4 linked regions of the Lytechinus pictus genome follow. The main gene of each other region encodes a partner of the protein of the gene in region 2 in a complex. Links are inferred from orthologs where the notes say so. Each region holds a gene or a part of one and is shown on either strand. Other genes may lie near its edges. The genes, in order: protein UXT homolog, ruvB-like 2, enhancer of polycomb homolog 1-like and histone acetyltransferase KAT5-like.

What was found.
Region 1: ruvB-like 2 (region 2) and protein UXT homolog share a complex: the UniProt entries of both Homo sapiens proteins name them as parts of the PAQosome complex. The link is inferred for Lytechinus pictus from reciprocal best matches to the Homo sapiens genes RUVBL2 and UXT.
Region 3: ruvB-like 2 (region 2) and enhancer of polycomb homolog 1-like share a complex: the UniProt entries of both Homo sapiens proteins name them as parts of the nuA4-related complex. The link is inferred for Lytechinus pictus from reciprocal best matches to the Homo sapiens genes RUVBL2 and EPC1.
Region 4: ruvB-like 2 (region 2) and histone acetyltransferase KAT5-like share a complex: the UniProt entries of both Homo sapiens proteins name them as parts of the SWR1-like complex. The link is inferred for Lytechinus pictus from reciprocal best matches to the Homo sapiens genes RUVBL2 and KAT5.

Annotation. Positions count from the first base shown.
Region 1 is NC_087247.1:51,229,343-51,236,801, reverse strand, and holds the start of protein UXT homolog, read left to right. Parts: upstream 1-4,459; 5' UTR 4,460-4,517; coding exon 4,518-4,687; intron 4,688-7,459. UniProt on the Homo sapiens protein: Involved in gene transcription regulation. Acts in concert with the corepressor URI1 to regulate androgen receptor AR-mediated transcription. Together with URI1, associates with chromatin to the NKX3-1 promoter region.
Region 2 is NC_087253.1:12,090,788-12,098,725, forward strand, and holds the start of ruvB-like 2, read left to right. Parts: upstream 1-4,920; 5' UTR 4,921-4,935; coding exon 4,936-4,995; intron 4,996-6,667; coding exon 6,668-6,847; intron 6,848-7,383; coding exon 7,384-7,456; intron 7,457-7,938. Other genes in the region: uncharacterized protein LOC129267757, read right to left, coding at 1,069-1,326. UniProt on the Homo sapiens protein: Possesses single-stranded DNA-stimulated ATPase and ATP-dependent DNA helicase (5' to 3') activity; hexamerization is thought to be critical for ATP hydrolysis and adjacent subunits in the ring-like structure contribute to the ATPase activity.
Region 3 is NC_087247.1:14,834,758-14,842,442, forward strand, and holds the start of enhancer of polycomb homolog 1-like, read left to right. Parts: upstream 1-4,673; 5' UTR 4,674-4,979; coding exon 4,980-5,132; intron 5,133-7,685. UniProt on the Homo sapiens protein: Component of the NuA4 histone acetyltransferase (HAT) complex, a multiprotein complex involved in transcriptional activation of select genes principally by acetylation of nucleosomal histones H4 and H2A.
Region 4 is NC_087251.1:35,558,646-35,565,579, forward strand, and holds the start of histone acetyltransferase KAT5-like, read left to right. Parts: upstream 1-3,919; 5' UTR 3,920-4,054; coding exon of another isoform or gene 4,055-4,107; 5' UTR 4,108-4,206; coding exon 4,207-4,239; exon of another isoform or gene 4,240-4,330; coding exon 4,331-4,391; intron 4,392-6,934. Other genes in the region: DNA-directed RNA polymerase III subunit RPC6-like, read right to left, coding at 221-364, 775-955, 1,309-1,376, 1,635-1,752, 4,055-4,107. UniProt on the Homo sapiens protein: Catalytic subunit of the NuA4 histone acetyltransferase complex, a multiprotein complex involved in transcriptional activation of select genes principally by acetylation of nucleosomal histones H2A and H4.

The sequences.
Region 1 (7,459 bases), on a different chromosome or scaffold from region 2:
GAAATTATTTTGGATATTTGAATGTAGATTTATAGAACAATCTTTGCATCATGATTGCACAGTGAAAGTATGAACTCAATGCTCACCGTATTTTCCAAGATTTCTGGGGCTAAATTTGGGAAGATTTTGTGGGAAAAGTGAACATGGTGATTGCGGGCATGTGCCGATCGACTGTAGAAAAGAGCACGTCGGCGATCAGAAGAGAGCCTGAGGCTATTTTTCCATTAAAGAATATTGATGAGAATTATAATGTAGACCATGATATATATTTTATCTCCATAACTAGTGAATTTAGCTAGTTTTTGTTATTTTGGGGGGATATAGTCCTTTGCAAATGAGTTTTGGGGTTTGATCATTACAAGATCTAATGCCGGGATCTAATAGAGGGGGGGGGGGGTGAGACTAGAGGATCGAGCGGCCGGAGCTCTAGACCAAATATAAAGTATATTAAAATAAGCTAGTGTGTATATACATATCAATAAATACATATAAATAGGTCTATGACATGCAGAATAAAGATTAAATAAATCCCTGAAATAAAACATTTTATGATGCCATATACAGGGCAGTTTATAATCACTCGCGTCGCGTGCGGGTTCGTAATCACTCGCGTTATGAATTTTTTGCGATTTTTTTTTTCATTTCGGTGCGATTTTTTTTCTAACGGTGTCTTCAATGGGACAAACACGCTGGGAAAATAAAATGAAATTGAAATTCGAGTTTCGTTTTAAGCCGGCAAGTGCCTTAAATAAGATGTACTCGACTTCTGTTTTAACATAACAAACAAGCAAATCAGCCATGTGGCTCAACTAACTTAGAATAGATCCGGACTTCTACTGTGTCTTATACGAGGACTCCGAGTCGGAACTTGCCATATCTGCCACATCGATATTACATCGTATCATTCCCATATGCGGACATGCCTACATGCAATGGCCCCAAGGCGGCCGGACCCGGCCGCGGTCGGACACGACGTGCATCGGTAGCATGGAGCAAGCTAACGTGAGTCGAGCTGAGTTAGATCCCACGTTATATATGAGGCGCCGATTGTACCAATATTATATAGAACAATTATTTGTTATATAATCATTATTCATTAAATAATAACTATTATTTATATATAATTTACATTCTATTTGTAAATAATTACTATTATATAAAATAACATTTCTAATAATTTATATATAATTCCAAGTAATACTTCATTACTTGTAAATAATAATACCAACGCGACGCGAGTGATTACGAACGCGAGTGAATATAATAAGCCATATACAGGCACTATAGTATTCTCCATGGTCTCCCTCAGTCTAACCTCTCTGTAATTTCATTGTCTGAAAATTAAGCAGCTGATGGATATTTAATTCATATAAATTATATATATTCCATTACTTTAATATTATTTTAAAAATTTGCATTTTAAATTAATTTCATCACATTCAGTCACTAATTACTTCTCTCACAGATAATGTACCTTAATTTCATTATTTTTAAAACTTATTTTCTCTCATTATACTTTCATCTATTCTCATCCATTATTTTTTTTATATTTAATTAATTATTTTAATAAAACTTCAGAATGTCCGGCCATGATCCTGAATTACATGCAATTATGTATCTGTGGAGAGAAAAGAAAACACAGCTCGGTTAATATCTGAATAGAGTCATGATTGAGATAATTATTTATGAAACATGTATTCTTGACAATCGATTGATATATTACTAAAATATATAACTAGGATAAAGTAATCAAATCTACTGCAGAGTTTATTATTGATCATGCATCATTTTATTAATTCCTTGGGAATTCCGGGACCAGTTTCCTCCACTGCCTCGCCGACGTACTCTGTCCCTGGGCCGAGAGTGCCCACAGTCCGTGCAAACGGCATGCATACAAGCACACTTTGCACAGCCACAGCCTGGTCTCAGTTGTACAGCTCAGAATACGCACAGACAGTGCGCGAAGATGAAACAAAATTGCACTTGTTTTCATAAAATATGTGGTAATTCTTGCAACTATAGCTAGCACATCTATCTCTGCCACCCATATTTTTAATTAAGAAGAAAAGTGATGTTAGACTACGGAACAAATATGACGAGGCGTTTACTGGAAGTTAGCAAAATTTTGGCTGCGGGCGTCGCTCGAGTTTTGATACACTAAGCCTAATAAGCCTGGAAATCGTACACTTTATTGTCGGCTGCTTGCGTTCGCATGGTCGCATCCGGACAATAGGGGCGCTATTCAGTAGAGGCACACGGCCAATATTGGAGACTGTCTCCAATGTGGGAGATTATCTCCAATATCAGAGACTTTTGTAAAGAATTTGGGTATCCATTTTCAGTTTTGGAGACCAATTTCCTTTGTTTACATTTGCTGCAAAAGAATTACCTTGGCGGCAAATAAAAATGTGATAAGGAGATTCCTCATGAAAAATTAGCCCTTTCAGTCAGACGGCAGGTCCCAAGAAAGTGGCTTCTTTCATCCATGCATCTTGTTTCCTATTGTTCTTCGCCAACGTTACAGACGCGTGCGTCGGGTAACGTTGGGGAAGAACAATAGAAAACAAGATGGCGGCGTAAACATCGGGCAAGTCTCTTCCGTCTTTACACAATATTTCTCTCATTTTTTTTGATGAATTCTTGTTCAAAAATAACAACGAGAGCGTAGAAATGTCGGAAATGAAGTTTTATCCCATGACATGTAGGCCTAGCCTACATGATTTAGGGCTAGATCTTTTAGAAAGAAAGTAGAAATCTCGGGGGCGAAAGTTTCAGGTTTTTTGGTGGTACACACAAAAGTATATGACGGAAGCCCTGGCTTCATGAGAGTGACCTTACGTTAGTAAATGATTTTTACTCTCTAGAAGCCGCCTGGCTAGGCTACCCGTGGCCACTCTAGGCGACACCCCAATACTTACCCGTGCTAATAAACTGGGACTCCACTCAAGCGCATTTGGGCCGCCCTAGCTTAGAACTAAGCAATATTATCTAGAAATTGTTACATTGTAGTCATTAAATATGTTCTATTAAATAAATTGATAATGTTTAATCGGTACTCACCGGTTCTTTTGTTGCATTTTCAGACCATTTCTCACAATTCTTCGTAAATATTTGCGGCAAATTTTGTCGCCATAGACAGCTTAGCATCCATCTTTATTGATAAATGGAGCGCCCTTTACGATAGTTGTTAATGCCGCGGAGAAATCGTTAGGCATTTTGGCCTGTGTTCAAGGCGTTCTTTCTGTTTTATTTTTTATATTGAAGATTGTGCATTTGTTGAATAGATCGAGTGTATAAATACACTCTTCCAAAATAATTATGATTCCGACCTGGCGCTGTTTAACTTCAATCTCTTTCACCTAAATTAGCGATGAATGCTAGCATTATTATAAAATATATATTATTAACGTCTGACGAAAAGAATAACCAACCGATCAGCTGACGAGAACGCGAATCACGTGATCTTCATATCAGCTTCGATCGCGAGTCAGAAGAGAAGAGCAGCTGCCCAGAAAATCAGGAAAAAGCCGTGAAAATGTAAGTTCCCCTTCATTTCTTTCATTTTTTTGTTGTTGCTAACGATGCATTTACACTATAAAATTATAATTTAAATAAGAGAAAGGAATATAGCTTGTACTTGTGATATAATATATAAATATCCTGTTCTCAGAGATTTCTAACCAAAAATACTACTGATGTCGCCTATGAGGTCCATACATGTAATGTTGGACCTCATTGGTAGGATGGGGGATCGGGTGTCCGGACACTTTATATTGTTGAAGCCTTCTTTATTTGTCTTTGGATTACACTAAAAATATGAATTCAATAGTTGTAATCATCTTCCATTTTGTTCTCCATAATATTTCCTTACATTTTGTACGAAAAATTGATGAAACTTCGCTTGTAAATTTTTCCAAATGACTTTCTAAAATTGATCGTCCGGACACACAACCTGTCCGGACACACAACAACTGGGTATACTAGGAGTGCCCGTGGCGTGTGCGAGGGGAGCTTCTTGCAATAGAACTTACACGTTTTACAGTATATGGGACTGTACTAAGGAAATTAAAAAAAAGTAAAATATAAAATCTATGGACTTACCTATCACCAACTTTCTGCAAATCAACTTTTTTCTGACTGGCAAGCAATAAACTAACATAATGTCTTATAATACCAACGAAAAAGGTAATAAAAACTATGGGTAATACCACCCAAATTCTGATATTGGGATCCAAGAGTAATTCGGCCATCTCTATAGTCTATCATCAGCTCAATGAAAATTATTTTTATTTATGTTTTTAAACTCTGTTTTTTTTTTAATTCGTGCAGTTTTTATTTTGAAAATATTAAAAATTTATTTAATTTATATTTTTATACATGAATAAAATTAATAAGATTAAAAAAACTCAGAAATAATTAAATTATAAAGCACTTTTAAACAACATTTACAGTTTTAGTCTCAGTCCACAGACCCCAAACCGGTACATTAGATCTAAAATTAGTAACAGCAGACAGGGATGCACCTGGTCAGAGATGCCTGTATCAGGCCTGTGTGCTGTAGACCACTGACCACTGCCACTGGATCAGCATCAAACTCCTTCTTCAAGTTCAAAATGTCTGAAGATATACCAGAAAAGGTGATTGAATATGAAAGATTCGTCAATGAAGTGCTTAGGAAAGATTTAGAGTAAGTTGTTTAAGTTAACCTTTCATTTTTAAAAATTTTATCATGATTGAAAATGAAATGAAATAACGTTAACAAGTTACAAAAAATACAAGTTAGTTAGGCCCTAGACCATGTAGACTTTTTAACTTCAAAATTCACACAAAATAATAAAAAGGAATTAAATAAAATTAAAATGAGACACGATCAGTCTATAAGTATAATGGGGTGACCATTATAATTTGCACACATTTTAAAAATCATCATGAAGTTGATTTTCAATCAAAAATTTCTAACACTAACAGCTCACACAAAATTAATCAAAATCATGATCATGAATACCAAACGGAAGGCAAGATCAGTCAAATTCGCTTGACGGAATTATAAAGTAGGTCAACATTACGTCAGACCACCGTTTGGAGAAAGACCGCAGTTCAGATTGCAAACTGCGGTACTATACCCCATTTTGCATTCGTAAATCCCAAAATCATTTCCAAGCCCAGGGGGCTGTTTCATAAAGCTGTTCGTAAGTTAAGAGCGACTTTAAGAACGACTGGTGATCCTTTCTCGCGCGCTAAATCATCGCCAATGGTGTGTACCATTTACGGCAAGACAGGATCACCAGTCGCTCTTTATTTACGAACAGCTTTATGAAACACCCGCCTGATCAACCCCGCTAGGCCAGGTAATCCCCGCTGTCTCAATTTTACCTCCACAGGCCAGATTATGAGCGTTGAGCCATGGAGCTATTGGTTGAGCCAAGGACGAAATGATAAACAACAGCTGTGCTATTACGCAAGACTTCTCTGCCTGTCGTAGGACCTTCGGAATGAAATTATTGTATTCGATATTTAATCACGTTTTCAAAGGCATATTGTATTTAGAAATCCAATGTTAGCCCATTTTCAATTTCGAACAAAGAAAATCGACCTCGAAATAAGGAAAGAAAGTGAATTAAAATGACGGCATGCTTTGCAGGGCTGTTGTGTTATCTTCGGACCGAGGTCAAGAAACGGGTGTTTTGATACTTAAATTGCTTGCTTGGGGCAGTTATGGTTTGTCGTACTTGGATAAGAGAATTGATTGAGGGAAACTGGGGTATAGTGTTCTCAAATGGAGGTTTTTCGTCATGAAGGGTTTCGCTCGTATCGCGGTCTCAAAGTTCCATGGCGATCGACTAGTGCGCGCTCTGCTGAAAAAAGTGTCATAAAAAAAGTGTGACCTTAATTTGCGCACGATCGTTTTACGAGGCGTTAGAAAAGAAATCAAGCAGACAAAGGTAACATAATAAAATTGTATCAGATGGAGCTGGAGGTTAAAATGCCATAATTTTGGTTGGTATCACATTTTACTTACTTATTTGGAGACTTCCGCTTGCAAACTGGTGAATTCTTGATGCTTGTCGAGAAGGTCAGATTTTCTCAGAGCAGACGCAAAAGGTAACAATATTTGCCGATGTTTTACCAATATTTTCATTAATAGACCTTACCTTCAAGAAAATTACTATATTGGGTAATTTTAAGTCGCTCTTTCTGTTGGTGATATCAGTTTTTTGTCTCACCTGCATAGCAGAGTGAGACTATAGGCGCCGCTTTTCCGACGGTGACGGCGACGGCGGCGGCGTCAACACCAAATCTTAACCTGAGGTTAAGTTTTTGAAATGACAGCATAACTTAGAAAGTATATGGACCTAGTTCATGAAACTTGGCCATAAGGTTAATCAAGTATTACTGAACATCCTGCCTGAGTTTCATGTCACATGACCAAGGTCAAAGGTCATTTAGGGTCAATGAACTTAGACCATGTTGGGGGAATCAACATCAAAATCTTAACCTAAGGTTAAGTTTTTGAAATGTCATCATAACTTAGAAAATATATGGACCTAGTTCATGAAACTTATACATAAGGTTAATCAAGTATCACTGAACATCCTGCATGAGTTTCACATCACATGACCAAGGTCAAAGGTCATTTAGGGTCAATGAACTTTGGCCGAATTGGGGGTATCTGTTGAATTACCATCATAACTTTGAAAGTTTATGGATCTGATTCATGAAACTTGGACATAATAGTAATCAAGTATTACTGAACATCCTGTGCAAGTTTCAGGTCACATGATCAAGGTCAAAGGTCATTTAGGGTCAATGAACTTTGGCCAAATTGGGGTATTTGTTGAATTACAGCCATAAATTTGAAAGTGTGTTGGTCTAGTTCATAAAACTTGGACATAATAGTAATCAAGTATCACTGAACATCCTGTGCGAGTTTCAGGTCACATGATCAAGGTCAAAGGTCATGTAAGGTCAAAGAACTTTGGCCACGTTGGGGGTATTTGTTGAATTGCCATCATATCTCTATAAGTGTATTGGTCTAGTTCATAAAACGTGGAAACATGACGAAAACCTTTCATTTGAAAACACTATACCCCAGTTTCCCTCAATCAATTCTCTTCTCCAAGTACGACAAACCATAACTGCCCCAAGCAAGCACTTTAAGTATCAAAACACCTGTTTCTTGACCTCGGTCCGAAGATAACGCAACAGCCCGAGCAAAGCATGCCGTCATTTTAATTCACTTACTTTCCTTATTTCGAGGTCGATTTTCTTCGTTCGAACTTGAAAATGGACTAACATTGGATTTCTGAATACAATATGCATTTGAAAACGTGATTAAATATCGAATACAATAATTTCATTCCGAAGGTCCTACTACAGGCAGAGAAGTCTTACGTAATAGCACAGCTGTTGTTTATCATTTCGTCCTTGGCTCAACGCTCATAATCTAGCCTGTGGAGGT
Region 2 (7,938 bases):
TGGACTGTTCATGTTTAAAAAAGGGGATTATTGTCTGTTTTCATGGGGAATTAGACATCAATCACATATAAATTACCAAAAGTAGAAAGAGAATAAGGCCCAGAATACATTCTGTAATACCATTTTAAAACTGCCCTATTGTAAACTCATTATCTCATTTTCTTTGGCCTGACAGTAGCCTGAGATTAAGCAGGTTTGGCCGAAAATTTTCTTGCTGCCAGGGTTGGGCTCAATTTCTTTCTTTAAATACAATTACTTAATTGAAGAAATGTTCAATTACAATTATTTTTCAATTAAATCACTTTTTTTTTTATTGCAATGACCAATTACTTTTGTCAAATACAGTTACAATTTCAATTACTTTCTATAAGTCATAAATGAAATCACTTTGTATTCTGTATGTACTAGCAATCTAGCACCACCTATTTCAACAATTCTAGGTTACAGAGAATCTGACAAGATGAAGGTTTATGTTAAAGAGCACAGATTCTGCCTATTACACTCTTTGAAGCTGAAGCAGTTGACATGAAAAGGGTCATTGAATTAAATCATAATTAAGTTTATTGTTAAGTAACTGAATGTAATTAAAAGTTATTGACAGTAATTGAGGTCAATGACAATTACTTTCCCTACAGATTTCAAATACAATTACAATTAAAAAATGTAATTAATTACGTAACTGATCAATTACCTTCACCAAGTTAGCTTTTCCCAAAAGATATCTCTGTTACAGCTATTTTCAATATTTTTCACAAAGTCTGGGGTCAGCAAATAAGCAATGCATGACCTATGAAAGCTGATGCCCATTGGACTTTGAAGTCATTTCATAGGGGGCGTTGCAAGAAAAATATTTGCGATCAATTGCAAATATTCTGTTGCAATTTTACAATTGATAGATCACCATTAGCTGTAGCAAATCAGATTAAACTTCTTGTTTCAAGGAGCAAATTAGCAATCAGTCACTAATTTGCAATTAACTGCATGACATGATTGATTTAGGGACCAAAAATTTACTTGTAATTGCTGGCAGGTTTCTTGCAACACGCCATAAGAGAGATCAAAATTTACCTGTGTTTGTGAATTAGATTCTGGAGCACTGCAGAATAATTGATCCTTGGATGGTAATCTCCACAAGGCATCATCAGTCTTCTGAAAAGTGAACGCCTTGTTGAATAATGCGTCAATCTCGCTCTGCCCCTCGTTTGTTCTCCCTTGACCTTTCATGTGACCCCTCTTTTTTTGACGATGATTCTTGCCACGCCCCCCTTGATGGGGACGAGACCCTCTATCTCCGGAGTGAATTGGGTGGTGATCCTGGCTGGACATCTTCTCAAACCTATGAAGTGATACAGATGAAAATTGAACTGCATTAGGGTAACAATGCAATTTTTGTTAATTTTTTTTAATCCCACTGATTATATCCTAGGGAGCGGAAGCAGGGCTTTCATTTCAGCACAGCTATTTTTTCTTCCCCTCTTCTTTTCCCTGTTTCCTAGCATTTTGTTTCCTTTTCTTTCACTTTTAATAGGGCAGGCCGGAGGGTGTGTTGACAAGAATCCCTCTGCCTTGTTCATAATCCTAGCAAACTCATGAACCTGTCCCTGCCCTTCGACTCGTATCAACCCAAGGTACTTATTATAAATGCCATATGGGCAGACTATCCTTTTTAAGTTTTTGTAACTCCCATTAGCACTAATGCAGTTTCACACCAGCCGATTACCAGAATACCTCACCACAGAACTTGCTTGCAAATGTCATAGTAAGTCCCTCAATCACGTTTCAAGGTCAGTATGCCCACCACTTTTCCAAATATCGTGACCGGCTGTATTTCGGGTTCCATGCATCTCGACGTCGTTCAAATTCTCAGTCAGATATTGCTTCACTTGGCTTTGCTGTAATTTTGATTTGGACTGAAGTTGGCAACCAAAATCATGCGCACATGTGGCGGCACACAAACGGGCTGGTGAGCTGCCGCATGCCACACGCAGGCCAGGCAAATCTTTTGGTCGCCAACTTCAGTTCATATCAAAATTATGGCGAAGCCAAGCCAAGCGAAGTCTGACTGAGAAGTTGAACAATAACGTCGAGATCGGAGCTAAATACAACCGTTCCTGAATGTAATATTTGGAAAAGCAGTGCCGGTGGTCACATTGACCTTGGAATATGTCACTGAGAGCCTTGCCACAACATTTGCATACAATTAACGTTACTGGTAGTGAGGTATGCATGCTGGTAATCTGCCAGTGCGAAACTGCATTGCCATTACCGGTAATTATATTATGGATTCTCAGATTATTCATTTCTAAAACATTTCATTTTGAAAAAAGTTTTAAAATATATTTAAAACACCAAATATCATTGGCATAATGATATAGTCCCCAAATCCAAAAATGGGGATTATTAGAATCACACCTACCAGAACGCATGAAAGTCACTTCCTTTCTCCAGAACACAGTCCCCAACTCTCGCACAGCTCGAGAACTTGCAAAATGATAACACACACAAATGAAACACACTTTGTTTGGATAATATACTGTTGGAGCTATCCCCACTGCGTGCCAAATGAAATGTGTATCCCATAACGTGGGGATTGTATCACGAGTATAGCTATACTGTTGGAACTGTCCCCACTGCGTGCAAAGTGAACTGTGTATCCCATAGCACAGGGACTGCATCACGAGTATACTATACTGTTGAAACTGTCCCCACCGCCGTGAAAATCAAACTTGATTTCCCGTAGAGTGGGGACTGTATCACGAGTATATAATAGGGAGAGAACCCAAGTGTAAGTGTGTTTCATTTGTGTGTGTTATCATTTCGCAAGTTCTCGAGCTGTGCGAATCTAATAATCCCCATTTTTGGATTTGGGGACTATATCACGATTATACCATATCATTATGATTTTTGTTAGATTGGATAGTTTTTGTTTGCTTTAAATTTGAACTTTCTTTCTTTTCTATCCTTCTTTCTTCATCCTTCTATTCCTCCTTGCCTTTTTTGTTCCGCCTTTCTTTATTTCCTATCTTTCTTTCCTGATCCTTTCTCTCCGTGTTCATTTTGCTTTCTTTCCTTCTTTCTCTTACCTGCCTTCTTTATTAAATTTCCTTCATTCTTGCTTTCCTTAAACTTTTCTTTGCTTCCTTCCTCTCCTTTTTCTTTTCGTTCTTTCTCCTTCCATTATTTTCTTTTTATTTCATTCTCTCCTCCCTTCATTCTTTCCTCCTTTCTTTAATTCTTTATTTTATTATCCCTTATAATTCTTTTCCCTTATTCTTTCTTTCCCTTCCTTCCTTCCTCCTTTCCCGTTTTTCTTCGTATGTTCCTTTCTTTCAATGAAGGAACAAAAATTATTTCCTTCATTCTTTCTTTCCTCCTCCTTTTTTTCCTACTTTCTTTCTCTCCTTCATTTTATCTTTCACACATTTATTCATCTTCCCTTCCTTTCTATATTCAATTCACAGATCGAATGATGGATACCATTTTTCTCTTTTAATTTTTATTCTTTTTTTCTAACTTTCTTTTATTTTTTCCCTTCACTTTGTCTTAGTTTCAGTCTTTCTTCTCAATTCATTTCTTTTCTGTCATCTTTTCTTTCTCTTCTTCATTCTTTCGTTCACCCGCCCTTCCAATTATTTAATATATTTTTCACAAGTCTAACACTGTTTATCCTTCTTGTTTAGACTTAAGTTGTTATGTTTTGTCGATTGTCCCGTATTTCATTTTGTGAAATATGGTCACCCTGCATAATTATGCCAACTCAAGATCACTCACGCTCAGCTCGCTCAAGTTGAAGATACTCGTACAACCCATGTGTTGGAACATGCGATGAAGCTTATGTGCAATTAGGATACGAGTATCAAGAAAATGTGTTATAACCCGCTTCACATGCGCCCAAACTAAATCGCGCACGCCAGTGATCGAGGCATTAAAATGATAATCCACATGGCCTGTGCGACTATCCCCAGCGGTCCTACCTAGCTCAGCTCACATTCCTAATCGATCTTGATACTTTGGCAGCTACCTAGCGGCATTCCTAAATTCACAGATCAGGCTCAGCTCTTGCTTTCAAAATTTACTATCACCTGGATAAAATTCGAGCAAGCCAAAAGCACAAAGAAATAGTCTGTCGAGCGGCAGGGAATTCCCCTTCGCACGTTTTTTCGGAGGTAAAGCGCCAGCTAGCGTTGTCATCACAGATCAAAATGGCAGCGGTAAGTTCGCGTGGGTTTTGTAAATTTGACTCGTAACTTGATGAAATAAATGACTCTGTAGCCTAATTGATTTGTTGAATTTTATTTGTTCGTAGGGATACTGAGGAGGATTATATACTAGTGACAGTTGAATTAGTAGTATTTGAATTCTTACTTTAATTGATTGACTTTTGCTCGATTTCAGAGCACAGTGTTTAAATTTTGTATGTTGTGCATGACAACGGATCAGCCGGCGCGGCGGCCTAACTCGGGACGACTCTCTCTCTTACTCTTAGCTGATCCCTCCACTATTTGGAGATTCCTAGGGTCCAAGGTAAACAGATATGTTCCATATACGCTGTCATTCTGGTTTAGGAGGTTTGAACCATGTCAGTACGGAATACATCAATTTTGTGGAGGAAAAAGAGAGATAATAGGAGTAAACTATTGTGTAGTTCCTTGGGCAAACAAGAGTGAAATGGTATAAGGGTGGCCTGAGTAAAGTCCAGTGGGTTGGCATTGACATATAGATCGACACATGTTGGGAAGTCCACAAGGCAGTCCTTGACTTTGCCAATAAACACTTGACGGAGATGGTCTAGCTTGGGACACTGCCCAGTAAAATGTTCCACAGTCTCGTCGGTAGATTTGCATAGAGGGCAAGTGCGGCTGGTTGATTTCTTCAGCGTGAAGAGACGACACTGTGTTAAGTAGGTGGCTGTAAGGAGTTGAGCTCTCACCACAAATGCTCTTCGTAAGACAGGAGAGAGTACACTTTTCGGGTACAGGAGTTTGGCAGAAGGAGGTATACAGTCTTGCCAGTACTTAAGAGATGGCTTGGAAAGGATTCCTTGACATGTGTTGTGTTTGGTCAGCAGGTTCACTTTGTAATTGACCAATCTCTTCCAAGATGAGTATACAGGAGGATTCGATAGAAGGTCACCGCTCCGCTGAAGCCGAGGCGAAGGAAAGCGGCTGAGCTGAGCGACAGAGCCGGCTCGGAGCCAAAAGTTACCAAGACAAGTCAAGAAAAAATAATGCAAGGAACTCAGGCTCATGAGTCATGTTAATCCAGTAAAAAAAAGAGGAGAGAAATAACTAACAAAGTAACAAGTATTGAAGTAACATGACCAACAAAGCCAAAGATAAAACAATTTGAATTTAAAACTCAGTCTCAGAATATTGTCAGAAGGGAAAAAATATGTTATGTATTATGTGTTTTTTTTTAAAAAGGCTTTTTCAAACCCAGCCCTTTTAACTTTGTTTGCCCAACAGTCTGTCCCTGAATGGAATAATATTAAACTCCCTCTTCATATACATGTCAAATACTTTTCGCTTGACCAGTAGAGGCGCACGGCCAATAATGGGAGACTCTCTCCAATAACAGGGGAGACAATCTCCCACATTGGAGACTTGCTTTACAAAAGGACAAAAGAAACAACACCAAAAAAACATGATTTTTTTCCACCCGAAATTTTGTCTCACTGAGCCTTGAGGTCAGAAGCCCATTTGTTTTGTGTGTGATTGACAACAAAAATCCTTATCAAAACAAAAGTAGACGGTGAAAAGGGGCAATTTTTCATGAGAAATCTGCTTATCACATTTTTATTTGCCGCCAAGCCCAAGGTAATCCTTTTGCAGCAAATGTAAACAAAGGAAATTGGTCTCCAAAACTGGAGACTCTGAAATTGGATACCCAAATTCTTTACAAAAGTCTCTGATATTGGAGATAATCTCCCACATTGGAGACAGTCTCCAATATTGGCCGTGCGCCTCTACTGTTGACAGCCTCCAAAAGCATGAAAAGCTCTTGCAAAATCAAGTTGAAATTGAAAATACCCCTCAGCTTACTCATAACGTGCGTCCAATTCTAATTTTATTTTCAAGGTAGCGCTGCAGAGCCCTTTGAAGATGATAGCAGATGATGATGAAAAAAAAAGATGATTTTAAAAGAGAGAGAAGAGAGGAAACAAAAAGGAAAGAGATCATGAAGACATGATAAAGAAACAGAAAAGAAAAGACGAGTAGATTCTTAAAGAAAAATATATTTTAAAAATCAACAAATAGAAACATTAAAATTAAATGGGAAAACAGAGAGAGCTCAAGGGATGGGGAAAAGGTGAACCTGATCAATAACGTTTTTTCTATTGAAAAATATTGTTGTTTGACTGTTTGCCATTAAAACTGATCAAAAAAAAATAAAAAAAAGTGTGGAGCATTCATCCATAAGTGAAAAGTATGAACCGTTTGTGACAGAAAACGGCGGTCTCTGCAATGTTGATTGTAGGTCTTGTGTTCTTTGTTATTTTGCTCGAATAAAAGAATAGAAAAGTAATAGTCCGAAAACGGATGTAAAAATCTTGAGTGGATACACTGCTGGACTAGTAACTTTGTATTCATGCAGTGGATGAGAGAAGACGAGAAGATATTTATTTCTTTTCTTCAATATTATTTATCATTATTATCTTCATCTGCAGTCAACAGCACAGAAGGTTCAGGAGGTTCGTGAGGTGACAAGGATCGAGCGGATAGGAGCGCATTCTCACATCAGGGGTCTTGGTCTAGACGATGCCTTGGAAGCAAGGAATGTGTCCCAGGGTATGGTGGGCCAGACGGCGGCCAGGAGAGCCGCAGGAGTCATCCTGGAGATGATCAAGGTATGAAAGACAACTGGGCCCTTTTACATAAGGGGTTGCAATGAACTGCAAAAACAGGTGACTCCGCCCAAGTCTGGGGACCAGAGAAATCTGTTCAAATTGGGAAAAATTCATAAAAAGATATTTAGCATGTTCTGGTGGGAATTAATGCTTCAAGTTAAGCGATTTTTCCACTTACATTGTAAGGTTGACTTGTGCAGATTCTGCTGTATGAATGAACCACTTTGATTGGTTCCAGGTCAGTGTTTGTGCAATGGTAATTGCTAACCTTCGTGTTACAGAGCCCAGGATTGATTATTGGCATTCAGCAATTTTTATTGATTGCAAACTTTTGTGTTATGGAGTCCAAAAAGGAAAGGCTACATAATATGATATATAAATATACTACCCAGGGAGCAAAACCCCACTTTTGGGGTGAAATTTGAAATGATATGATTTTAAAAGTTTCTTTAGGATCTACATTGTATTTTCCATGAAGGACCTTTCATGGGTGGATTAACTTTAATTACATGTATTTATTTATCCCCTTATTACAGGAGGGTAAAATTGCAGGACGAGCTGTTCTTATTGCTGGTCAACCAGGTACTGGTAAAACAGCTATAGCCATGGGTGAGTAGAAAATAACCATTCCTGTATTTTTAAGTCCAGGGGTCTAGGGGCCAATCACAATGAAGTTATAACTCTTCATGAAATGGGCTCTAGTTCAACTATTAAAGTCATAGTTTAATTCTGCTGAAATTATGGGAAGCGACAAATGTTGAATAATTTGTTTGCTTGTAGTGTGTGTTTAAATGAGATACAATTGTGATATCATATACAAAGAATTACAAATTTTATCCATATGTCACCTCCAGCGCACAAATGGCTAAATTCACACACACACAAAATATTTGATGAGGACATATGACAATGTGCTTTCCATTATTAATGATTATGATAGTATACACTGTAGGGACAGTGATTTTCCGCGATCGCGGAAAACGGACGGAATTTACGGAAAGGGCCTTTTGAAACGGAAAGTGGCATTTCAAACGGAAAATCACGGAAAACGTATTTTCCCTCAAAATAAACAGAATAGCAACAGAAATTAC
Region 3 (7,685 bases), on a different chromosome or scaffold from region 2:
GTACAACTCCCTCATTACTTTAGTACTTATTTCACTTATATTCTCACTTTTATAGTGTCTATGACAAGGTGAGGTTTTCTCTTTATGAGAGGACAAGTACAGAGGTTTCACAACATTATATCATTGATGAATCGTTTGTCATATGATTAGAACGAGCAAAAAGAGATGTTTTGGGTATATTTTCAGTGTCCAAAAGGGGAGAGTTGTTCATCTGTGACATCATAGATCTTGGTCGCATTGCCAATGGGAGGATCTCCATAGCATTAGTGATCTCGACATTCAAATGCTCATAACTCTTCTATTGCTAGTCCTATTTTACTCAAACTTTTGTTGATCTTATTCTTTGATTTTTCTGCTTTCACAAAAGCTAACTTGCTCCAAGAGTTTCATTCTCCTTTAAAGAATGGAAATGGTTTAGGCGTTTTACCCCCCCCCCCCTTCACAGGCTTTTGCAATGGAATCCAGCAAAATCATACAGGTATATGATACAGGTAAAGCTAGGAAAGTAACCCCCAAAATTGTAGGATTGTTCAAATTATTATGGAAAATTTTTCAAACCTCCATTTCAATATTTTTCTTCCTAAAGTGACCCCCGAAAATATACTTGCCCCCCCAAAAAAAAAGAAAATTAAAAATAACAAGTATGTGCATGCATAGGGGTGGGGGCTACCAAAACACCAGTGTTGCTCTTTTTTATTTTTATTCTTACTTTTACCCAAAAAAAGGGTTCGCTTCCTCTTGCCTCTCTGTTTTTTTTATTCTAAAAAAGCAAATATTATAGGCTACCATTGAATGGGGAATGAAACACTTGGAACAAGTTAGCTTGTGTGATCTGAAAGGAACAAAATAATCAATGAAAGTTTGAAAGACAAAATTAATGATATTTAGAAGCATTTGACTACAGAGATCACTCGATGTGGACATTCTCGCATTGGCAATACAACCAACATGTTGCCACACACAACCCCTATAAAGCTTTCTGCAGATATTTTACTTGAATTATCTTTATTTTCCAAGAAGATCCATAGACGAGGTGGTTTTGTTTCATGGGAGGACATTTTAATGAAGGTTTCATAAAATGTATCGTGGGCAAAGATTGTTGCTATCATTAAGATAATGAAAAAAAAAAATGTTTGGGTATATTTTAAATGTATAAAGGGGTGAGTTGTACTCCGGCCGGGGCGGATCCAGAATTTTCCAAAAGGGGGGGGGGCACATTTTCCTTGTGAAAATTTGACAAGCAAGCAAAAAAAAAAGGTCCTCACTTTCAAAAGGAAAACGGTATATTAAGTTAAAACCGTATATTAACATTACAAATTTTGATTATGGCTCTCAATGGGGGGGGGGGGGGGGGGGGGGGGCACGGGCCGGCTGTGCCCCCCCCCCCTGGATCCGCCACTGGTTGTACTTTTGTAATATCACAAATCCTTGATCACATTACCAATGAGTGTCTATCCATAGCATTAGCATTGAGAGTAACACTCATTGCATTCGTGATTCAGCATTCTAATGCTCATTGTTAGTCTATTGTTCTCAAACTAATAATATCTTCTTCATTGTGTTCCTACGTGTTAAAACGTGCTTAAAATGTTCCCTTTCGGGTCAGTATATCACACTCCCATCATTGAGATAATTTGAACAGTAGTTCTTTATTTAAAAACGTCCTAATTTACAGCTTTCAGATTGGAATATAAAATGTTTCATCTTTGCGCCTGTGTCATTTATTGAGCAAGATATACCCACCCTTTTCATGTTTATAAAAAGTGAATGGAATGTCCCTAAAAAATCACCTCACGCATTAATTCTTTACTGGATATCTTGTTCTTTATGAAAAAAATAAAAGGTTATTACATTGTCAATATTTACAGATAGGAATAATTATCAACAATTTTCTGCTCGCGCTTCAAAGCTCATGCACATAGTGTTATTTTAGATATCCATTCTGTTAAAAAAATGCTTAGAATCTCCCGTTTAAGGTCTAAATCGCAAAAAATCAGCTCGCGCTTCGCGCTGCCACAAATTATAAATTTTTGATATTCCGACCTAAAATTTGATATGCACATTTAACTGTCCAAGTTTAGGTCGGAATATCAAAAATTTAACCTCGCCCTTCGCGCTCTTATCAATTGTTTAGATAGCCATCTTGGTCATGGTTACAAAAAGTACTTAGAATGACAAGTTTCCAGTGAAAATGATAATTTTCAGCTCTCGCTTCGCGCTCTCATTGGTTGGTGAGATGTGTATCCTCCTCGATCGTGAGCCTCTGCAAACACTAAGTCCGAAACAGGTCCCTTGACTCCCTTATCATGTCATATTACCAATTTTGGCACGCGCTTTGCGTTCACATTATTTATACTTTATGAGACACCTTATCTTGTTCTTAATAATAAAGTTAAAAATGTAACTGCAGCAGCCTTTATCTTTTAGCGGCCGATCTGGGAAAGATGGATTACAATAATAAATTGTCTTCCGCCCCTAGCCTCACTCCCTCCTATTGGCGAAAGTTAGATCCGTCCCTGGAAGTAACAGAACTAAACATGAGTTCGGGCCTGATCATTGAAAGTAGAAAGGTCCACTTTTTACAATTCAGACCCCCCCCCCAAAAAAAAAAAAAACTGGCTACGGGATATACCCATCTAATATTGTATCATCTCCTACTCTATAAGTATCTTCTGCTTTGTATCTTTGTACAAATAATTTTTTATTAAAAAATGTTTGAAAAAAGAAGGAAGACAATTAGAGGTGGATATTTGTTGTGCGTTATGTGTTCTTTATTTTGTGATGATAAAGATGAAGAGAGGAGAAAATGGTGGTAAGAATGACGACAGTGTTCAGATTTTCACATCAGTGCCATGGGAAGAGCGCCCCCACTTTTTAACTTGTTAAGCAAACGATACTGAACCCCTTTTGAACATGCATATACTTCAATTTAGGGCAAATCAGTTCACATGGAAAATCATTTAATTGACATCCACAAACACACAAAATGATCGAATGGCAACAATTATCCTCATTTTATTGGAAAGGGTATAGTCCTTGCAAATGAAAGAAATGAAGATATTAATTGATATAGGCATTAAAAAAAAGTGAAGACGATTATTTTTCCACTGATATAATAATAATAACGCAGTTCTTGTATTTTTTTTTTAGCGCATATCACATGTAATAACGTCCCTATGCGCCTCCGAAGGACTTGGATATTATTCCCCTGGCTTTAGCCCCGCAGCTTTATACAGCGCGATGGCATTTCATGGATTAAATTTCTGCCAGGTACCCATCTCACCTCGGTTGAGTGCAGCACAACGTGGACGAATTCCTTGCTGAAGGAAATTACGCCCCGATTACGCCATGGCTGGGATTCTAACCCACGACCCTCTGTTTCAAAGTCAGAAGACTAATCCACTGGGCCACAACGCTCCACATATTGATATTGCCATATCCCATCAAAGGCAATTCACTTTAAAATTGAAAAAAAATTATCGAGCTAGATCATAGTGTTAAAGGACGGACTCCATCCCAACGAAAAGTTTATTTTAATAAAAAGAGAAAAATTCAATAAGCACAACACTGAAAATTTCATCAAAATCGAATGTGAAATAAAAAAGTTATACATATATCTTTCGCTAAATTTCACAAAACATGCACATCCTGGTATAACCTTTATAATTATCATTATCCTTTATGTTTGTTTGCGATGGACAGGGCGGGGGGGGGGGGGTAGGCTGCATGGCTAGATTTGATTCTCCAGAAAAAAAAATTGAGACGATCAGAGGCCCGTTGCAGAAACTTTTTGCAATCAAACGCAACTCTAAATATCTTACGCAACTGTTAAAACAAATATTTATGTTTTTATTTTAAATCTTATCATAAAAAAATATGCAACTCGACCAATTATCAAAAGCGTGATGGGCTCAATCATGACTACTCCCGGATTTTTTTTAGACAACCTGCCTGGTTGTCATATTTTATGTTTTCATCTTGGCCTTGATATTTTTATAAATAATCGCTGAAGTCATTTTCGAGTTATTGGTTCAATCATAATAGTAGCCATAGGCGGCGGAAGCGGGGGGGGGGGGGGGGGACGTGTCCCCCTAAATTTGAGGTGGGGGGACGATCCCCCCTAAATTTCTTGTTGATGACCTTTTTTTTTTGTTTTTTTTTTGCTTGTCAATTTTGTTTCCTGCGTCCCCCCTAAAATTTTTGGCTTCCGCCGCCAATGATAGTAGCCAAGATAATAACATAACATGACTTTTGTTTTAAACTTGAGCTAAATGGTTTTTAGGCTGCCTTCCCCTACTCCGTAAAGTTTACCAGGAAAATATTACTAATAGCCTATAGGGCCTATATTTCGATGATTTGTTCTCACCAAAAGCAAAAAAAAAACAAAAACAAGTAGGCAGTCCAAAATTCGGCAAATTGGAGAATGAGCAGAAAAACTGTAAATATTGTTTAAAAATGGAAATATTCAGCTGTTGATAATCTTAATATCTTTGATCTTATAACATTAAATTTTGCTAGAGTCTCGAAAAGACTGGTAAAAACAGTCAAATTTGCTCTTATTCAGTTAAAGCAAATTGCACTATTAAGTTTACAAGCGGTCTAATCCTGAAGTGTACACCGTTCACTACTACTGAAGCCATCAGCTGTTTTTAAATGGTTTAGGCCGAATGCACACACACAATTCCCGGGTTCCGCCGTGGGAACACAACACGTTATGAGATGCGCGCGCAGACGTGATCAATCCAGAGGAATTCTGGGAAGGTTGCGAATTTTTTGTCCGCCATGTTGTTATGTATAAAGGCGGAAAATTTACCGTTATTTTGCCTTCATTTGTGATTTTTAGCACATTTCTCCAGATTCTATCTGAATGAGAGGACGGATGATACCACTATTTCTGACTTCAGCTCGGTGATTTTGGCCTATTTGGCCTATAGAGGCACATTCTGGCATTTTTAAGGGATCGTTGACACTCCGTCATCATGAGCAAGCTAAGTTTTCGAGCTCGGGCTCCCGATCCCGCGAAGCCGATGCCCATCTACACAACAGATGAGCTTCCAGATTTGCCTGATTTTTCCACTACCAATCGGGCAGTTCCTCAAATGCCCACAGGAATGGAAAAAGAAGAAGAATCGGTAGGTTTTTGTTTCATGCAAATTAGTCCGTTGGTCTTGCATATATAATGAGGTTACCCGGATCTGGCGGCCATTTTGAAATCACGCCCTTTTTGGCGGGACCGACGTTTTTTGCGAGACGAATAATTCATATTGTTTTGCGACATTTATTGGTTTGTTTTCAATGAGATATCTATTCACGGTTATTTATTAGATGCTTTCATTATTCAAATTAAGAAATATGTGAACTGAAGTAAGTTGATTCGATTTAGAATTCGATTTTTGAAAGTTTTTTCCTCTGTGAAATGTTGACTTCACCCATTTTGAGAATGGACGGTCCCGCATGCGTCACATGCTAATAATTAGGTCACCGTATTATTTTTAAACCAAATTGAGTTATTTTTTATTAATTTTTTATTTAAACATGTATGAGCTGTTTAATGATGATGATTTTTTTTTCAGCTGTACAAAAAGAAGAAATTTTAAGGTTATGATACACTTGTGATATTTATTCTCCACTGCATGCTCATGAATTATTCATAAGTGGATGATGAATGGTGGACAAGTCCATTATGTGTAGATAGGGTTAGACTTAGAGGGAAAATTTCTGTGTTGTGCAATAAACTCTGACATGTGCACGATGAATGTAAACATGATTTCACTATTAAAATGTACATTTATTTGTTTACATGAAATGATGAGTTGACCTTAATTTGAATTATTGATTCTGAATTTTTTAATGAAACCAACTTGGCCTTTTTTTCCCCTGAAATTAGAAGTCTACATGTACACAGTCACAGTAGATTTACCAAAGAAGTTCATAAGAACAAATTAAGAGCAGAAATGTTATTGACAGGCTGACAAAATCTTAGAATATGACCAATACACAGAATACAGATATTTATTATTTTGTTTGTGCAACTTTTTTTTTTTTAATGTTTAGACATGTGTCCTCCTTTTCCCAATTTTCACATGTCAGATTTTTTTTTTTACAATATTAAACAAATATAGGGGTCTAATGATAATAATTATATGATATTAATAGTAATAATAATGATAATAATTATGATAATAATGATTATAATTTAATAATGATAATGTAATTTATAATATTGATGATGATGATATTAATAACAATGATAATATTTTAATAACAATAATGATAATATTAATAACAAATAATATAAATAACAATAATGTGGTAGGCACTCATTCAATGAACAAGGTTATGATATAACATTGTTCTCTGTTACTATTTATCCCCTGTGTGGAGAAATAAGGTTGGCAATGTTTGGCTTATTTTCTCTTGTTCTTGTGATTTTTTACACTGTCAATTTCCATTACAACTATTCATCGTATAACTTGGCTTGAAGTAAATTGAATTCTTTTGATTATTTTTTCCATATTAAAAATGAAGAATGTAAATGTTTTCTTGCAATTTTACTCTCCACCAATAGAGGGCCTACACAAAAGTATGCCCAAAATTCAAGTTTTTATGCTCTCTGGTGAATGAAAAAATGATCCCTAAGCTATATGAATTAAATTAAATTGCAGATGTATGGAAATGAGTATATTTGGTTACAAAAGTGGTATTTTAATGATTTTTTTTTAATGTGTGTTGTATACTGCATAGATCCACTTGTAGGCCTATACATGTAGATTCCCACAGGCAGGGTGGTTGTAGTGAACAAGTGATGGTAGGGTCTACATGTAGTTATGTTTATTTTATGCGCTTTGACCAAAAATTCTTTTTTTCCTTAAGTTGTGAATTATTAACTTGGGGATCTTTTTTTTTATTCAGAGTGCACAAAAAATGTGATTTTGAGCATTTTTGTGTAGGCCCTCTATTGATTGAGAGTCATTTGCCCAGTTTGCCAATAGCTAAGTTTTTTTTAAGTTTTAAAAAAGATTTAAACTGATAAAAAACCTCATAATTTGACATTTTTAAAATCAACATTTCACAAAATCCCACAAACGTCCAGACTATAAAAATATTATTAGTTTAATTTGTGATGCTACATGTATGTGTCAGAACTGCGGCCAAATGCAACAGGTCGTGTAATTTCAAATCATATTTCAAGATATATTGCAACTTTTATATTTGCTGTTCCCTGTAAAAGTGAGCAATGTGTCTGCTCATATTATCCCACCAGAGGCAGCGTAGAGTAATTCGGGAGTAATTACTACAAAAGCATTTTTCCTTTTGTAATTCACCTATAAGTTTGACTTTAGGAATCTTTGGTCTACAATCTGCAAGAAATATGCAATGAAACACATGTGTAACATATTTTTACCATTGCGGCATCAAAGTGGCAATAAAGAGAAAGTGTTGGATGGTTCCCCTTGTCTTAAAACTCCTTGACTCAACCCAGGTGAGGTACATGTAAATGGGTACCTGCAGGCAGTAATTCCTCAAAAAGTTGTGAGCACCGAAAAAAAAGAATACCAGCTTAGCCAGGGTAATATAGGAGCACCTTGAGCACCTAACATGGTGGATACATGTGCTAGATACAAGTTACGTATTATTTATTTATTATTCATAATGCTGAAAATTTCATTGAAATTCAAATATGT
Region 4 (6,934 bases), on a different chromosome or scaffold from region 2:
CAGGATTCAAATAAAAACTTTAAAAAGAAATGCCACTCAGCCATTTTCGTTGTTGCTGTGTAATCCTGAACAAACACAATTATGTCCATGATGGAGCCTTTTCAAAAGTCTAAATTGTATGAGGCTTACCTTTTTCCCCTCTCACAAAAAAAGCAAGACATTGTTGGAAGTGAAGTTCAATTACTAAAATAAACAGATTGCTGCAGGAGAGCAAACAAACCTTTTGTTGAAGAAACTTGAAGCACTGTTGGTTCAGGACTTCTACAAATTCTGACTCGAACTCCTGATCACTATACCATGTTCCGCCGGTCACTGAGGGGTCAGGGGTCAGATTAAAGAGCATGTATGCCTTTTTCCTTGCTGCCTGGATTTTAAATGAAGGGAAAATTTGTGGAATGTACAATTTTTTTCATAATCCAACCCATAATATGGATCATATCATGGTCTAGTGGTTAGAGCATTGGACTTGCGTGGTTTTGAGTTCCAGTACCTGCTTGGCCATGGTCTCTACTTTGACCTAACAGGCCCTATAGTAATTTATGTCGTCTAAAACTGGTCAGCTACTATGACTGATTATATTTGTGATATTTTGTTTGAATCTAGATTTCCATACTGCACCACTGATACAGAATAATAATGCACATATGCTATCCAGGGGCTATAGACATTTATTAGCTTATCCAGCTTAAAGATAAGGGAGAAAACTAATCATTGCAATAGATTGCATGAGCAAAATGTCAACATTAGCATACCAAAAGGTTAATAAACACCTACCCCAACAGACTTGACAGCCTTGATGAGTTTCCTACTCTCTAAATTCTTCAGAATCTTGTTGAGTTGAGTTAGTTGTAGATTGCTCTTTAATCGGATATCTCGTGTCCATATTCCCTTGTTGCCTGATTGCTCGATGATCTGATATACAAGACGTTCCTGATTATCAGCTCCTTTGATTTTACTACAAAAATAATATAAGCAACAGTAATCATTTAACAAAATTTTAACATATAACATAAAATAATAGTTCTCATATAATAAAATGATGATGACAGCTATCACGTTGTATACATCTTCATTTATCAAATGATAAGATACATTTTCAATGCAGATTTGAATCCTGGCTAAGTATTCACCCCCCCCCCCCCTCCCATTAATAACAAGTTACAATAAACCAGTCTTTTCTGCATCGACCAAATATTTCATTTATCACATGAAACCCTTATACGAATTACCAGGAAATGACAGCATTGGTCCAAGTCAAATAGTGACACTTAAGTTCATTCATTTCAAGGAATAATGAATGGAAATTACCTTACAACACCAGGATCCTTCAAACGGTACAGCAATTCAGTGCTTGTCTTCACCAAGTCTATTTTACCCTAGATAAAAGAAAAGGATGCAAATTAGATTTCTTCATCAAATATGCTCTGAATTGTAAACAAATAGGAATTACTGAATCAAAATTATGTTTTTCATATTTATTTTGAAGGTATACCTTTGAAGGTATACCTTTTGGAGTCATTGTGTTGCTTAACTGAGAATATATTCTCAGATTAGCAACACAATGACTCCAAAATATAATGAATGCCTCTGACAACCACCTTCGCGGGGGAGGGGGGGTGAAAAAAGAAACTCACTGATGAAAGAAGTCTGTTGACAGCCGATACTCTCTGTTGAGCATCAATGTTTGGAAGTTGCTTCTGAATAGCCGAATCTCGAATACCATCTGATTCTCCTTTACATAGTTCCAGGATTCTGTAATTTGAACAAGAAAACAGATTACAAAAGTTCAAATTAATTGGTTACTGTTGATGAGATAGACCATAATGTCTTGAGATACAATGTAAATTCAAAATAATGGAAAATCAACTGTTTCAAATTCACATTTATAAAAAAGTGACTATGTCAGGTATTGACAGCAAAATAAATAAGCCTTCAAATCAAATAATGCCAAATTATCTGCCTGGACTAAAAGAGAGAGATTAAGTGACACTGACTGTATTTTATTCTAGTCTTATACACTCTAGGACTAGTAGGAGGCAGTGAGTGGGAGTCTTTGGGACCTAAAAAAAGGTTGAAAAAAGCTGCCAGCGTAGTAAGACTTTCAAGTACCATTGTACAAAATCCACAGATATTTAATAAAAAGTTTTACCTTAGATATAATTTGTAATATCTAAATTGCAATAAACAATAATAATTTCACTCAAGGAAGTTCATATCTAAACGAAAAAAAAAACTAGTCGTCATGCATTTGTGTACTGCCACGGGAGGCGACTTTCTACAAGTGCACCTCCCCATATATGTACGATTGTTGACTATGAGGTCAATAGGTTACGTTTTGAGTCACTTTTGACCTCATTGGTACTAGAAGTGGTCTTATAATTTAGATAATTTCATTGCAACTGCAATGCAACTTTCACAATCCAGATTCCAGGTCCAGCCTCCAGGACTGGACTCCAGTCCAACATTTTTTTACACAGAAAAGGGCAAAATTCATAAATAGCAACAAAAAAAACAAGTGACAACAAAAGTTTAAGTTTTCGTGTCCGTTTCCTTCATATCAAAAGAACATTATGACTACCGGTACTTTTCCAAAAATCTAATGGCCCGTATTCTGAAGTCAGGTTTAACTTAGACCATGGACGGTCTAACTCTGTGCTAAAATTATGGGAAGCCAAAAGTGTCAAAATGTTTATTAAGTTGTATGTTTTGTATGTTTACTGTGCTCTTTCCTGATTCATCGATGATGAAGACAATCAATTTTAATTTTATACTTCCTAGACAATTATCAGGATTATGAATGATTTGAGAGCCAAATGAGCTGAAATATGATATCTCTACTGTTAATAGTGATTTATGTAACCATTGGCTTACCATACTTAAACCACAACTTAAAACCTGAGTTTAAGTTAAACCCGACTTCAGAATACGGGCCAATATGTTTTAATTTTTATATGAATGTGAAATTGAAAATAGCAATACTAGCTGTATGGCAGTGTATCCTATTGCCGGACACCTTTATTTCAGTGCTTTAAAAATGACAACTAGAGGAAATACAATCAAGAAAAAATCACACTTGCTATTCCAAATATTATGAAAATTATGAATATGATAAAATTATTTTATAATTATATTTACCAACCATTTTCTTTGCATCGCAGTTGCCGCATACCCCTCCATGAAAAACAATTATTTTCGTGCGCGACAAATTACATCATGATTCCGGACGCGCGCCGGACGGGTAAAGATATCCTTGATTATAATGATGTAAGAGCAAATTTGTGTGATTTTTTTCTTCTTATATCATATCATGAGTAAATTCTAAGTATTATTTGCTTTTTTATATCGAATCTGAGCAGATGTTGGTAATAAATTCGTGTTTGATAACTTATTTTATTTTGTCTTGTTAGCTGCATGTTCCATGGCACTTTCCAATAATAATATGCTCGCGTTCGTATCATATCGTGACGCTCATCAAGTTCTATCGATGCGCTGCCGATCGACGGCTCTACTCACGGTAAACCTCGCGCACGGGTACCTTGAGAACTAGCCATCGACGATCACCCACAATACACCACACCTCATCATTCGATCGAAGGAGTGGACGAGATTGAAATTCGGCAAATCAGGCCCATATTTCCGTTAGAAAATACATCAATTGTTAATACAAAACTATGTTATAATATGATATTTTAACTTTTAAGCATTTTCTGTCATTTTGAGAGATAATTAGGTAAAAGTTGGATTTTTCGCCTTGTTTTTGCAATCTTGTTCTATGTATTGCTCTGTGAAATTGAATTGCGGAAGTTTTACGGTACGAATTTGTTTTAGAACGCAGTAATATGCGCGTCCGGAATCATAATAGTGTCCGGTATTAATACAATACGTGACTATATTACAACTACAAACTTCCAAAACCAGAGCAAACAAAACAGACATCAGGTGGGACTGAAGTGAAGCACGACCTTTTTGGCTAGAAAAAAACAAAAATTTAAACATATAATGCAAAATTAGAAAAAAAAATCGATCTAAAATGCATATATGATACGGCTCATACCTCTCCTCTAGATTCATAGCATCTGGTGATTCCTTCTTTTCTCCTGCACTCATTTTACTTTATCTGTGCTTCTTTCTTGGAGTTGGACAAGAAAATTTTTTTGGACAAGCCGTCGGCAGTGGAGTAATTTTGAGAGAAAACACACAAACAAAATGGCGGAAAATAATGATTCATCGATAAAAACTGTGAGTTTTGCTCGTTTTTATTAATTCTTTTAAATTTTTATTGTGCCCTATTTATTTGAACTTATAATCGCAACTCTAATTTTCTTTTCAGGAAGATCTGGTGGTTGAAGGATGCCGCATGCCTGTAAGAATGAAGCAAACGGATGAGTGGCGTAAGTTCTCTTTGGATTTATTTCATTTTGGTCCCATGTGTTGACTTTTGCGTTTGCTATATTGGTGAAATTTCTTTGTATTTATTTACCTAGGCCCTATGTCTTGTTTATAAAGTCACGTCCCTTCTCAACCATGAAATGGACCAAGGATTTAAGGACATAATATTTTTCAAAATCTTTGTAATATCCAACTAAATATGTAAAGTGCATGTACATGTAAGTGCTAAAAGAGCATTTTAAATAAAAATAAAAACATTGCCAATTTGCCAAAAAAGAGGATGCTTAAGCCTTAACAATAACATGCTAAGTCTTTAAGATAGGTATGATGGGGTGTCCAAACTTCGCGCACTTTTCAAAAATATTCATCAGGCTTATTTTTGTTCACAAAATATTCATAATTTATACAAAACCAATTCAAGAAATAGTTACCACATTGACGGCAAGATCGTAAACTATAAAATCATGGACGAAAATGTAAAGTAGGTCAAGGGGTAGACCAAAAGCTTCAGTCTCTGTATTTTGGTTGTTCCGCTGAACTACGTTGGCTCCACTCACCATACATAGACTGAAGGGGATGGGGCCCCGTACCTACAGCCAACGTATAGTGAACTAGCGTTTTATAGATCGCGATTTAAAACTGTTTTTTAAGCAAAATTGAAAGTTTCATCATGGTTTCCATTATCAGGGAAATATGAATAAATTTAGTAATTGCATACCTTGGGCCGGAGTTATTGAAAAAAATCCTCTGGATGATTGAGAAATCTGTCATCTAAGACATTTTCACCTGACCTGACGGTTTTTCTTGCAAGTTGCCATCTTGAATGACGTCATTATCGTTATAAACTTAATGTCTCGAATCGATATATCGCGATTATAACTAGTACTAGTACTAGTATAACTAGTATCGTTTATCTTCGGTTTCGATCGCATATGGAGCAGATCGTATAATATCGAAAGCAATATCGATATCACATTCGTGATTGTTGACGTTCGTTTGTAAATATTTTATAGTTTGGCTGCCATTTTGACCATTTTTATCGTGTTCAACCCAATTAAACATCGGTAAAGTATATTTTTCATGCCTTTTTCATCTATATCGTTTAAAGTATTTAAATATTAAAATATTAAATTTTACAAGTTTGTTGTTTATACATCCTTAGATTGTAAATTCGATGTGTAAAATTACATCAAACTTTGGACTGTGAATTGACAAAAGGGAGGGAATGAGAACACATGCGAGCCCACACGTACACCCTACCGTCGGTAAATGGGGATTACAGTAAAATGTCAGAAATTGTTGAATAAATCCCCAGAAACGACGGTTATTCCTGTCTAGTCAAGGGGTTTCGCCGGTATCGCGATCTCAAAATTCTATTCCGATCGGCGAATGCGGGCTGTGCTGGAAAACCGTTCAGAAAAAGTGTGACCTAACTTCGCGCACCAAAGCTTTTGTGGAGATTTAAACAAAAAATCAAGCTAAAAAAGTGAAATATTTATATCAGATTGATGGCAAAATGCTATGGAATCGGTTAGTACCACATTTAACTCACATTTTTTATGATTTCTGCTTGCAAAATGGTGATATCGTGATGCTTGTTGATTTCTTCAAAACGGGCGCTAGCGGTGGCAAATTTGCCGATCTTTTGCCAATATTTTCATGAATACTGAACTCATCCTAAAGAAATTTTCACTATAGGGTACTTTTAGGTCGCTTTTCACGTTGATGATGTCAGATTTTAAGGATATTGGCTAGTTTTTTAAATAATGACCGTCCGCGAAGTATGGACACGCGCGAAGTTTGGACATACTGCCATATATGTGACAAAAAAAATAAAAATCATGGAATTACATTGTAACCTAGCTCATTGGAAAGGGCTGAAAAAAACATTTAAAATGGTATTATTAACCATTACTCTAGGCCAAATATTAAGAGAGTTATGATTTTTTAAATATTAAAAATCTGATTTAATTATTGCTAGGCCTAGACACTTCAGCCAGGCGGGCGATTGCGCGGACACAGCGCTAGACGTAGATTTTTGCATTGCAGTGAATGGCGAGCGCATATCTAACACACACAGTTCGCTCCGCTCGACACTTTGGCCGAGCGCTGGAGTTGCATTCGGCATTGCTCGAAAAGACAGAGTCAGTTTCTTCCTTTATTCCGCTGATTGTGATTGGTCAAAAATTCCCGCGGTTGCTTTGTACATCTTCGGTAAACATCGGAAATATATAAGATGGAGTATCACTTACCTTCATGCGAGGGAAGGACCTAATATTCAGGTATTTATTTTTCTTTGCTTGAAATCACCTTCTTGTAATCATCGGATCTCTTGTAAACTCGGTCAGTAATAAAATTGTATATTTGAGAACATTTTGTTAAATTCTAATTAAATTTGGTCCGTAGAGAGCCTGCGGATATGAGCTTCAGTTTTGAGTGTCATGAGGTGTTTGTGAATCTGACTCGGCCGATCGAGCAGGGTTGTTTTGAGCGTATACGAACAGCTGTAAGTGACGTCATCCCCACTGCGTTGGGCCTGAGATTA